Nothobranchius furzeri: one gene and its partner. The protein of the gene in region 1 interacts with the protein of each later gene in a pairwise test. Links are inferred from orthologs where the notes say so. Each region holds a gene or a part of one and is shown in the gene's direction. Other genes may lie near its edges.

The links. The genes of interacting proteins can lie anywhere in the genome.
Region 2: the proteins of wbp11 (region 1) and c11h5orf22 interact in binary tests that used the Homo sapiens proteins (3 or more experiments, as listed by UniProt). The two-hybrid records come from large-scale screens. The link is inferred for Nothobranchius furzeri from reciprocal best matches to the Homo sapiens genes WBP11 and C5orf22.

Annotation. Positions count from the first base shown.
Region 1 is NC_091752.1:67,489,363-67,493,788, reverse strand, and holds the end of wbp11 (WW domain-binding protein 11), read left to right. Parts: coding exon 1-56; intron 57-125; coding exon 126-311; intron 312-2,539; coding exon 2,540-3,210; 3' UTR 3,211-3,483; downstream 3,484-4,426. UniProt on the Homo sapiens protein: Activates pre-mRNA splicing. May inhibit PP1 phosphatase activity.
Region 2 is NC_091751.1:66,277,529-66,282,343, forward strand, and holds part of c11h5orf22 (UPF0489 protein C5orf22 homolog), read left to right. Parts: intron 1-150; coding exon 151-287; intron 288-3,539; coding exon 3,540-3,820; intron 3,821-3,982; coding exon 3,983-4,045; intron 4,046-4,815.

The DNA of each region.
Region 1 (4,426 bases):
TCCTCCAATGAGACCTCCCGGTCCCCCGTCCGGCCCACCTCCTGGCCCCCCACCAGGTTAGCTTCATTCAGAAGAGATGACTGTTTTGGTGGCGGGACGCGTTTCTTATTTTCTCTTCTGTTTAGGCGCTCCTCCGTTTTTGAGGCCACCTGGTATGCCCGGAGGAATTAGGGGCCCGATGCCTCGTCTTCTGCCCCCTGGTCCTCCACCAGGTCGACCCCCTGGTCCTCCGCCAGGCCCTCCTCCCGGTCTTCCACCAGGTCCTCCACCCCGCGGACCCCCACCCAGACTACCACCCCCGGCACCACCAGGTAGGTGTATAAAGCTACAAGGAGGTACTGCGTAGTTTAATGGATGTGACTGCACACACCTCAGTGGTCAGCGGTTCCATCAGGACAGGTCTTCTCGTTGCCGGGTTGTCCTCTGTGACTTTTCCAGGTGTTGCATTCAGCTCCGTTTCCAACCAGACGACTCTGTTTCAGGGTAAAGCTCACGAGCCCATGCTTGAAAACTGCTCACCACGCACTCTGTAGCGACACGACAGACCTTCGGACCCGTAAACCCGGGAGCGAGGTGAACGTCGTGCTGCTACCGGCGTCTGTTGTCCCTCAGGCTTGCCGTAGTTAGAGGAGGACGCGCTGGGGTTCATGGGGTTGGAGGTAGAGGAAGGAATGACATTCAGGAAGTAACCCGAGGTTTGGGGATCCAGGCAAAAATGCTTAGAGACACTGTGTGTGTGTGTGTGTGTGTGTGTGTGTGTGTGTGTGTGTGTGTGTGTGTGTGTGTGTGTGTGTGTGTGTGTGTGTAGACACGGAAGTGGCTGGGCAGCCGTGGTGCTGCTCAACAGTGTCCCTCACCAGCAGAATTTCACACGTTTGATTTTCCTGCCACCGCGTGATTGCCAGTCGGGGGCTGGTCGCGAGGCGTTGGTCGCTTTGGTGACCCCGGTATACGACACAAAGCTCAACGCAGAGCTCGGCTCGACCTCCCAGACTGGAGACGAGTGGAAAATTGGTAAAATGGTAAACGGCCTGTATTTGATACAGCGACTTCTAGAGTCCTGGAACCCCCCAAGGCGCTTTACAGTGGCGGCGCCAGGGGGTTGCTAGGGGGCGCTATAGCTACCCCTGGATTAGTCATTGCACCCCCATAGCACCCCCAAGTAAATATTAGATTTATTTTTTTACAATTTAATTTTAATTTAACGTGTGGATGTGATCATATTTAACATACAAAACAAAAATAACCAGTAAATTATCATATAGATAGTAAAAATCTAAACAAAAACAGGTAATTGGTGTTAATCTTTGACCTTATTTTCCACCTGCGAACAAGTGAAAGGTAGAGCTAGGGGTAAAATGGATCGGTTTTTGTTGCCCACATTTCCACGGGTTCAGTCAGAAACGAATGAATGTTTGGAAGTGATCTCAGACCCACAAAAACCTACGGATCTGGATGAAGAGAGCCAACCCTCAACCGCCGCAGCAGTCCAGGGTTTTGCCGCTGAAAATGCGAACGCTAACGTTAGCTAACCTTGCAACACTATAGGTGGTTTTCTGTGTGGCTGTGTGTGTTTATGATTTCATGGAAAAGTCAGCGATTGTTCATAAGTTTATGATGTTTATTAATGATTGTTTCAAGTGTTGTTGAGGTGTTGTGCACGCATGTGTATCTGCTAGTGTTGAAGGTGTTTTAGAGAACAATATGTATGCATGACCACTTCCTTCATAGCACCCTCATTAAAAAGACTAGCTCCTTCATAGCACCTGCAGAAAAACATTTCTGGAACCCCCCCAAGGCGCTTTACAACACAATCAGTCATTCACCCATTCACACACCTCAGGGGGCGCACCGACAGAGGCGAGGCTGCCGAGAACTGGCGCCACCGGTCCCCCCGACCACCACCAGTAGGCATGGTGGGTTAAGTGTCTTGCCCAAGGACGACAGCAACAGACTGAGTGGGGTTCGAACCTGCAACCTTCCGGTTACGGGGCGAGCTCTTCACTCCTGTGCCACCGTCGCTCAAATCGGCTCAGAATGGGCAGAAAATCACACTTTGCTCGTATGCCCGGCTTTAGTGAGCGTGTGTGTCTGGGGGCGGGACTAAAAGCAGGAAGAAGCGGTCCTAAGCGTGAGGTAATCCCTTTTCCTGGGCCTTTTATGAATAATTAGAACCTTTCCGTGCTTTTTTGATCGATTCGTGCTGACTAATGGAGTCGTCCACCCAAAGATCAGTGAGAGAACATTGTCTCTGCATGCGAGTCCTTGTTATGTGTACAGCTAGCTGGTAGCTACTGACCCGGGTGTCCTCCTTTATGCCTGGGTGAATAACTAATGTGATTGGCTCAGACTTGCATTTAGGAGTTGTGCCGGTTATAAACCACCTGCTGTGAATTCAGACAGGAACTGACCCAAAACCACCGCTACAGGGTCTCGTTGGGGTTCTTCTGGTCTAGTGCAATAACGGGGTTCACGCTCACGCAGAGACCAATACTAGCACTGGCTCTGTTCACACGTATGTTTTTGTGATTCTTTTCAGGTATCCCACCTCCCCCTCCAAGAGCAGGAGGGCCCCCTCGTCCTCTTGCACCGCCACTCACCATGTTTCCACCACCGCTCAGCTCCAGTGTGCTCAGCGCGCCGCCCAGCATTGTTCAGAGGCAGAAAGGTCCAGGATCCAGCCAGGATGGTTCACAGGGCAACATGCCCCCCCCTGCCATGTCCATGCGACCCGGGGTCATGCAGATGCCTCCTCCTCCTGGGACAGCCGCTGCTTCCGCGGGGGCAAATCCCGGCGGCCACCACATGGCCACCATCGAAAAACGAGCCAACATCACTTCTGCTGCAGCCGCTGCAGGCGGCCTGGCTGCAGGCGCCGGCGCTGGAGGGGCTACCATCTCCGCCAAACCTCAGATTATCAATCCCAAGGCAGAGGTCACTCGCTTTGTGCCCACTGCGTTGAGGGTGCGCAGAGACAAGACCGGAGCCATGCCAGGGGCAGCAAGCGGACACCTGGAGAAGGTGGGGAGTGCTGGAGGAAGGAGGGGCGATGAAGGCCATGGAGGAGGCCACTGGCAGAAACAGCATGCAGCTGCAGCTTCGCTGGGTTTGGCTAAAGCATCCCAAGGAGGCTCTGTGTCTCAGCCCAGCATGAAGACTAAAGACCAGGTTTATGAAGCCTTTATGAGGGAGATGGAGGGACTGCTCTGAGACTCTGGAGTATCGGACAAATTGTTGTTTTCTCTGGGCTCTTTGAGCTTCAGGAGTGGATCGTTTTTGTGTGTCCAGAATGATAGAAGTAGCTGTATTCAGATCGTTCAACCAAATCAGTCTGGAGAAAATACAGTTATTTATAAATTCACCTGAGTTATGGTTTTTCCAAACAACCAAACACTGTCCTGCACAGAAGTGAATCTTCTCTTACAAGTTTATTTTCTAACAAGTTGTGTTCCTCCGCCATAAAAAGCTGTTTTTTTAATGGTTTTTACTTTTGTTTCTTTTATAGTTATTCATTTGAATGTGAAAACAGGAAAATGTAGAGTATTTGTCCTACAATGGCAAAATCCATGTCTGACAGTTTGAAATGCAGCTAAATAAACACCTGAAAACAACGTTAATCTGTTGTGTTTGATCATCGTGTTGTGTTTCAGACACACCGGCAGTAAGAGGGGATTCATTAGAAGTAGATCAGATTTCATTCTTAACCCAAGTGGACATTAATTGTGCTGAGAAGTAAGTTATGTAGGACAGCAGAGGAACACGTAAACAACAATTCCCATCAGTCCTCGAGGTTTCACGCATGAGCGTTGCAGATCTGGCAGGAGGCGTCATTTGGAATTCTAGGATGTCCAAGGAAGATCTCGCCATTCTCGTCTCTGATTGGCTAGAAAGGCTCTACTACGGCTGGCTATTTCATTTAACAGCAAACTGGCTGTCCTCTAGTGATGGGAATTCCGGCTGTTTTTAGAGAGCCGGCTCTTTCGTCTCCCAAGTGGCTCCTCAGATTTTCTGTTGCGTAGAGTACATTTATAACCAAAATAATGCAAAACTATATATAAAATGATTTACTGATGTAAAAAATGCTATATATCAAATATTTATCATTTCTATGGATTTAATAACTGAACACTTTAACAAATCTCCACTTTCCCACTGCTGGAGCTCATTTTCTCACCGTCTTTGTAGCACTCTCCTCTCTCTCGCTCGCCTTTTTCCTCCTTATTCCCTCTCGTCTCCCTCCACCCGCATGTGCTCTGCTGTGTGTCTGAGTCTGATCCTCCCTCTTCCCCGCCCCTACTGCTCTGTGTGTGGACAAGCTGGACATGCAGTCACACATGTTGACCAATTACCTGTAGCTTTCCCCAAAGCAAGAGGGGAGGGGGGAGGGGACGGCTCCCAATGACGAGCCGGCTCCCGGCGTCGTTCA
Region 2 (4,815 bases), on another chromosome or scaffold:
ATGAGAAGGGTTGGTTGTTTTTCTGGATAGTTTAGCTGAGGCCAGATTAAGCCACAGCTGTTTGCACTGTGTTAAAGTCGTGCATATACACGGCACCGATCGACACGTCTCTGTCCTCCTGTTGTCCTGACTGTCCTGGTGTCTCTGCAGGGTGACCAGCACAGACAGCTACTTCCTCAGCGATGGCCTCTATGTTTCTGACCAGCATTTACTCAACTCCAAACCGTTCCGACTCAACGTGGTGAGAGTCAATCCTATCAAACCAGCTCCTGCTTTGGCAACAAAAGGTCAGTCAGTAAACAAATGTGTTGTTTACTATAAATTAAGCTTTGTTCGAAGTTCTTAGGAAGTAGGCCAGGGTTAGATTCAATTCAATTCAATTCAAAAACACTTTATTAATCCCAGAGGGAAATTGATTGCTGTAGTAGCTCAGAATAATAATAATAATCAAGTCACCAAAGAGTTGTTGTATATTACAACGGCTGTTGGCAGGAAGGATCTCCAGTAGCGGTCAGTGTTGCAGCCAAACTGAAGAAGCCTCTGACTGAAGACACTTCCGTTGTCGGACAGTCTTGTGAAGAGAACGCTCAGGGTTGTCCATCATTTTCTTGATTCTCTGGAGAATCCTTCTTTGCATCATCTCCTCCAGCGGTTCCGAAACTGCCGAAACTCTGGCCGAGTCCTTAAAAGGTCTTGGAGTTCCTCCATCTTGTTGGCCAGTGATCTCACATTGTCCATTATGATCGATGGAAGAGATGGTTTGAATTTCCTCTTCCTCGCTCTGCACCCACGCTTCTTGCGTTTTAGCTCATTTGGGATTTGTGGCTTCAGTTGAGGTATTATTTCAGCCTTTCCAATGTTAATCAGCTGCTTCCGATTGTAAACCAGCTTGTTGCCATGGTTACGCATCATAACAAATGCTCAAAATGTGACAAAAGCTGAAAAATAGCAGTAAAAATCCTCCAAGCTTCACAGCACCAGAAACAGAAAAGTAAAGCGTCCCAAAAAAATACAGTTTTTCTTGAGAAACTAGAAGAAAAAATGCCCAAGAAAAGGCTAAACTTACATATAGTCAACAGAGCTACTCCAACATGCAGCCACCCAGAGCAGCGCAGTTCCGGAAAAAAAAGTTGTGTATTGTTGTGTGTTTAGTCAGGAGACTCTAGGAGTCAGAGGAGGCCATGACTCTGATCTTGCTAAGAAAGGGGTGTGTCTTTTTACTTTTGCACCCTCCCCCACGAAAGAGTTAAGTTCCCACCCTGTAACTGCAGCGTTGCTGGTTCGAGCCCCACTCAGTCTGTTGCAGCCATTCTGTCCTTGGGCAAGACACTTCACCCTCTATGCAGTGGTAGTCAAAGGGACAGGTGGCCTTACTTCTGGTACAACGTAGCTCATCACCTCCAGCACGTGAATTGGTGAGTGACTGTTGTGTCGTAAAACGCCTCCAGCTGGTTGCCACCTCCAGAGATTTTTCCGTATTTCAATTCAGTTTTTTTATTTAGCGACAAACCAGGACAGAGTCGTCTCGGGCACATTCCAGTTGAGTTCAGTTCATGATGCCAGTTATAGTTAAAAGTTTCCTTCATAAGGAACCCAGCAGGTGCATCGAGTCTGGGACTCCACAGCTTTCCTAATAGCAAGCATGTCGCGACAGCGGAGAGGAAAACTCCTCTTTAACAGGAAGAACCTCCAACAGAAGCTGGCTCAGTATGAGCCCTAACATTCACATTTAAAGAGTTTTTCTCTGATAATGAACATTAAAAGCACCTATTCTCTCATCCATGGGCATAAAGGAAATTATAAACCAGTAAACTTAATACAAATACATGTGATTAATAGTTTTAATGAAGAGAAAACACGGTTATTATCAGGATTTAGAGAAAAAACACATCAAAAGCTTCAAATAAGGGAGTTTTGATTCTGAAATCTGTAACAAGTGAATAAAACATGAGGTAAAAGCGTCGACCGGAAAAGGGTGGCTTGCCAACTCCGGGTCGGGGGAGAGGTCCTACTTCAAGTGGAGGAGTTTAAGTATCTCGGGGTCTTGTTCACGAGTGAGGGTAGGAGGGATCGGGAGATCGACAGGCGGATTGGTTCGGCGTCTGCAGTGATGCGGACGCTGAGCCGATCTGTCGTGGCGAAGAGGGAGCTGAGCCAGAAAGCCAGGCTCTCGATTTACCGGTCGATCTACTTCCCAATCCTCACCTATGGTCATGAGCTTTGGGTAATGACCGAAAGAACGAGGTCGCGGATACAAGCGGCCGAAATGAGTTTCCTCCGTAGGGTGGCCGGGCTCAGCCTTAGAGATAGGGTGAGGGACTCGGAGTAGAACCGCTGCTCCTCCGGATCGAAAGGAGCCAGTTGAGGTGGTTTGGGCATCTGGTCAGGATGCCTCCTGGATGCCTCCCTGGGGAGGTGTTTCGGGCTTGTCCTGCCGGCAGGAGGCCCCCGGGTCGACCCAGGACACGTTGGAGAGGTTACATCTCCAATCTGGTCCGGGAACGCCTTGGGGTCCTGCCGGAGGAGCTGGTGGAGGTGGCCTGGGAGAGGACGGTCTGGAGCTCCCTAGTTGGGATGCTGCCCCCGTGACCCGGACCCGGATAAGTGGAGGAAGACGAGACGAGTAAAAGCGTATAAACACGAAATAACAGGATCAAAAATGTTCAGGGCGTGCTTTTAGACGGCGCTCTAAGGACCAAACAAGCACCAAGACAAGGACTCTGCAGACTGACCTAGACTTCAACTAGACAATAGCTGCTATTTACTTATTATTGTAAAGACACGTTTCCTTCTTCAAACATGAAATAAACTTTTACAGGAAGTTGTTCCCAGTTTAGTTCTGACACAGAAAATTTGTAGACCATTGGCTTTTGTTTTTATAAAATACTGTTCTATTACAAATGAGTTTTAGGAAAGCAGTTTTACTGTCATTCTCACTAATCATCCATCCATTTTCAGCCGCTTATCCGGTCGGGTCGCGGGGCAGCAGCCCAGACTTCCCTCTCCCCAGCCACTTGGGCCAGCTCCTGTGGGGGAATCCCAAGGAGCTCCCTGGCTAGCCAAGAGACATAGTCCCTCCACCATGTCCTGGGTCTTCCATTAGGTCTCCTACCGGTTGGACGTGCCCGGAAAACCTCACCAGGGAGGCGTCCAACTCAGATACCTGAGCCACCTCAACTGGCTCCTCTTGATGTGGAGGAGCAGTGAATCTACTCCGAGCCCCTCCCAGATGACCGAGCTTCTCACCCTATCTCTAAGGGAGAGCCCAGCCACCCTGTGGAGAAATCTAATTTCAGCCGCTTGTACCCGCAGTCTCGTTCTTTCGGTCACTGCCCAAAGCTCGTGACCACAGGTGAAGGTAGGAACGTAGCTCGACCGGTAAATTGAGAGCTTTGCCTTCCGGCTCAGCTCTCTCTTCACCACGACAGGCCGGTACAACGCCCGCATCCCTGCAGACGCAGCACCAATCAGCCTATCGATCTCGCGCTCCATCTTTCCCTATATTTATCATTGCTTTTCTGTCTGGCTCTGGATTTCAGGGTTTGACACCGAGAGGTGTTCAGCTAAGAGATCTCGGACAGATGAGGACGGGGAGACCAGCTGTTCCTCAGCCCTCTCATCAGGAAGTGTAGCACCACAGCCAGCAGAGGGCAGCAACAGCAAGGAGCAACATCTCAGAGATGGAGACGACCGCGATGGATCAACCAGCTACGTTGTTGAGAGAATAGCTTCAGTTCTTAACGTAGCAGATGCATATGTCCTGGACATTGACTTGGATTTCTTCTCCTGTAAAAATCCCTTTAAGGAGTTGTACACAGAGGTAAGCCTCCCATGCAGCAGATATCAGTGTTGCATCAACAGCTGTGCCCCATCCACGTGTTGGTCTCCCGCTCACTCCTTCCCTCTGTCCCTGTGTCTGTCTTCATGGTGTCCCACTGTAGATCTGAATTAAAGCTGATCCGAGTTCTGTTTGCCTTTCCAGGAAGAATATTCCATTCTTAAGGAGCTCTACAACTTTAGAGGGCCCAGTCTCTGTGCTGATGAGGTCAGAAAAGTCCGTCCTGCTATAAATATACACTCATTCATACAGAGCTGACTAAAACCTGCAACTAGGGAGGTTTCATAATATTCTACCATTAATAGTGATGCAAGAAAATATCTATTTGGCAATATACTGTGATATATTTTCCTGCAATATTATATTGATATTCAAAGATGCAATTTAAATGTCGACCGCAAGTTGGCAGCAGGGTGCAGTGGGTTTTGTTTCCACCACTGAAATGTAAACCCTCTGTTATGGTGCAGATACCTCATGTTAAACATGTTAAGTATCACTGTGGACTGTTTATTCAGTATTCCAACAATAAATTCAGTCTAAAATAATTGCTAATAACATCTGACTGGATGTATACGTATCATATTGCCAGAATTTCACCAATACACATCCCTAACCATTAATATCGGCCAATATCAACATTAATCTTTAAAAAAAAAAAAGTTGACAATAATAATAACCGTCTTGTTTTTAAAAAAATATATCTCGGTGGACTACCGTGGCTGCAGTGTAGGTGCGGTGACCCTTACCAGCCACCGTATCATCTGCTGAAGTTGCCGGCGGCACATGCACACTTTGTTGTTTACAACCAAAACTTTCTTGAAGCTAAAACTGAAATAATGGCTAAAGGAGGAGACGGCAACGCTCAGGGGGATATTTTTCATCCCTCAAAGAAGACAAAGTGGGAAGTACGGGCATTTTTGGATATTTGAAGAATGTCGAGGGACAGCTGATAGAAGACGGCTATCCTGTTTGCAGCA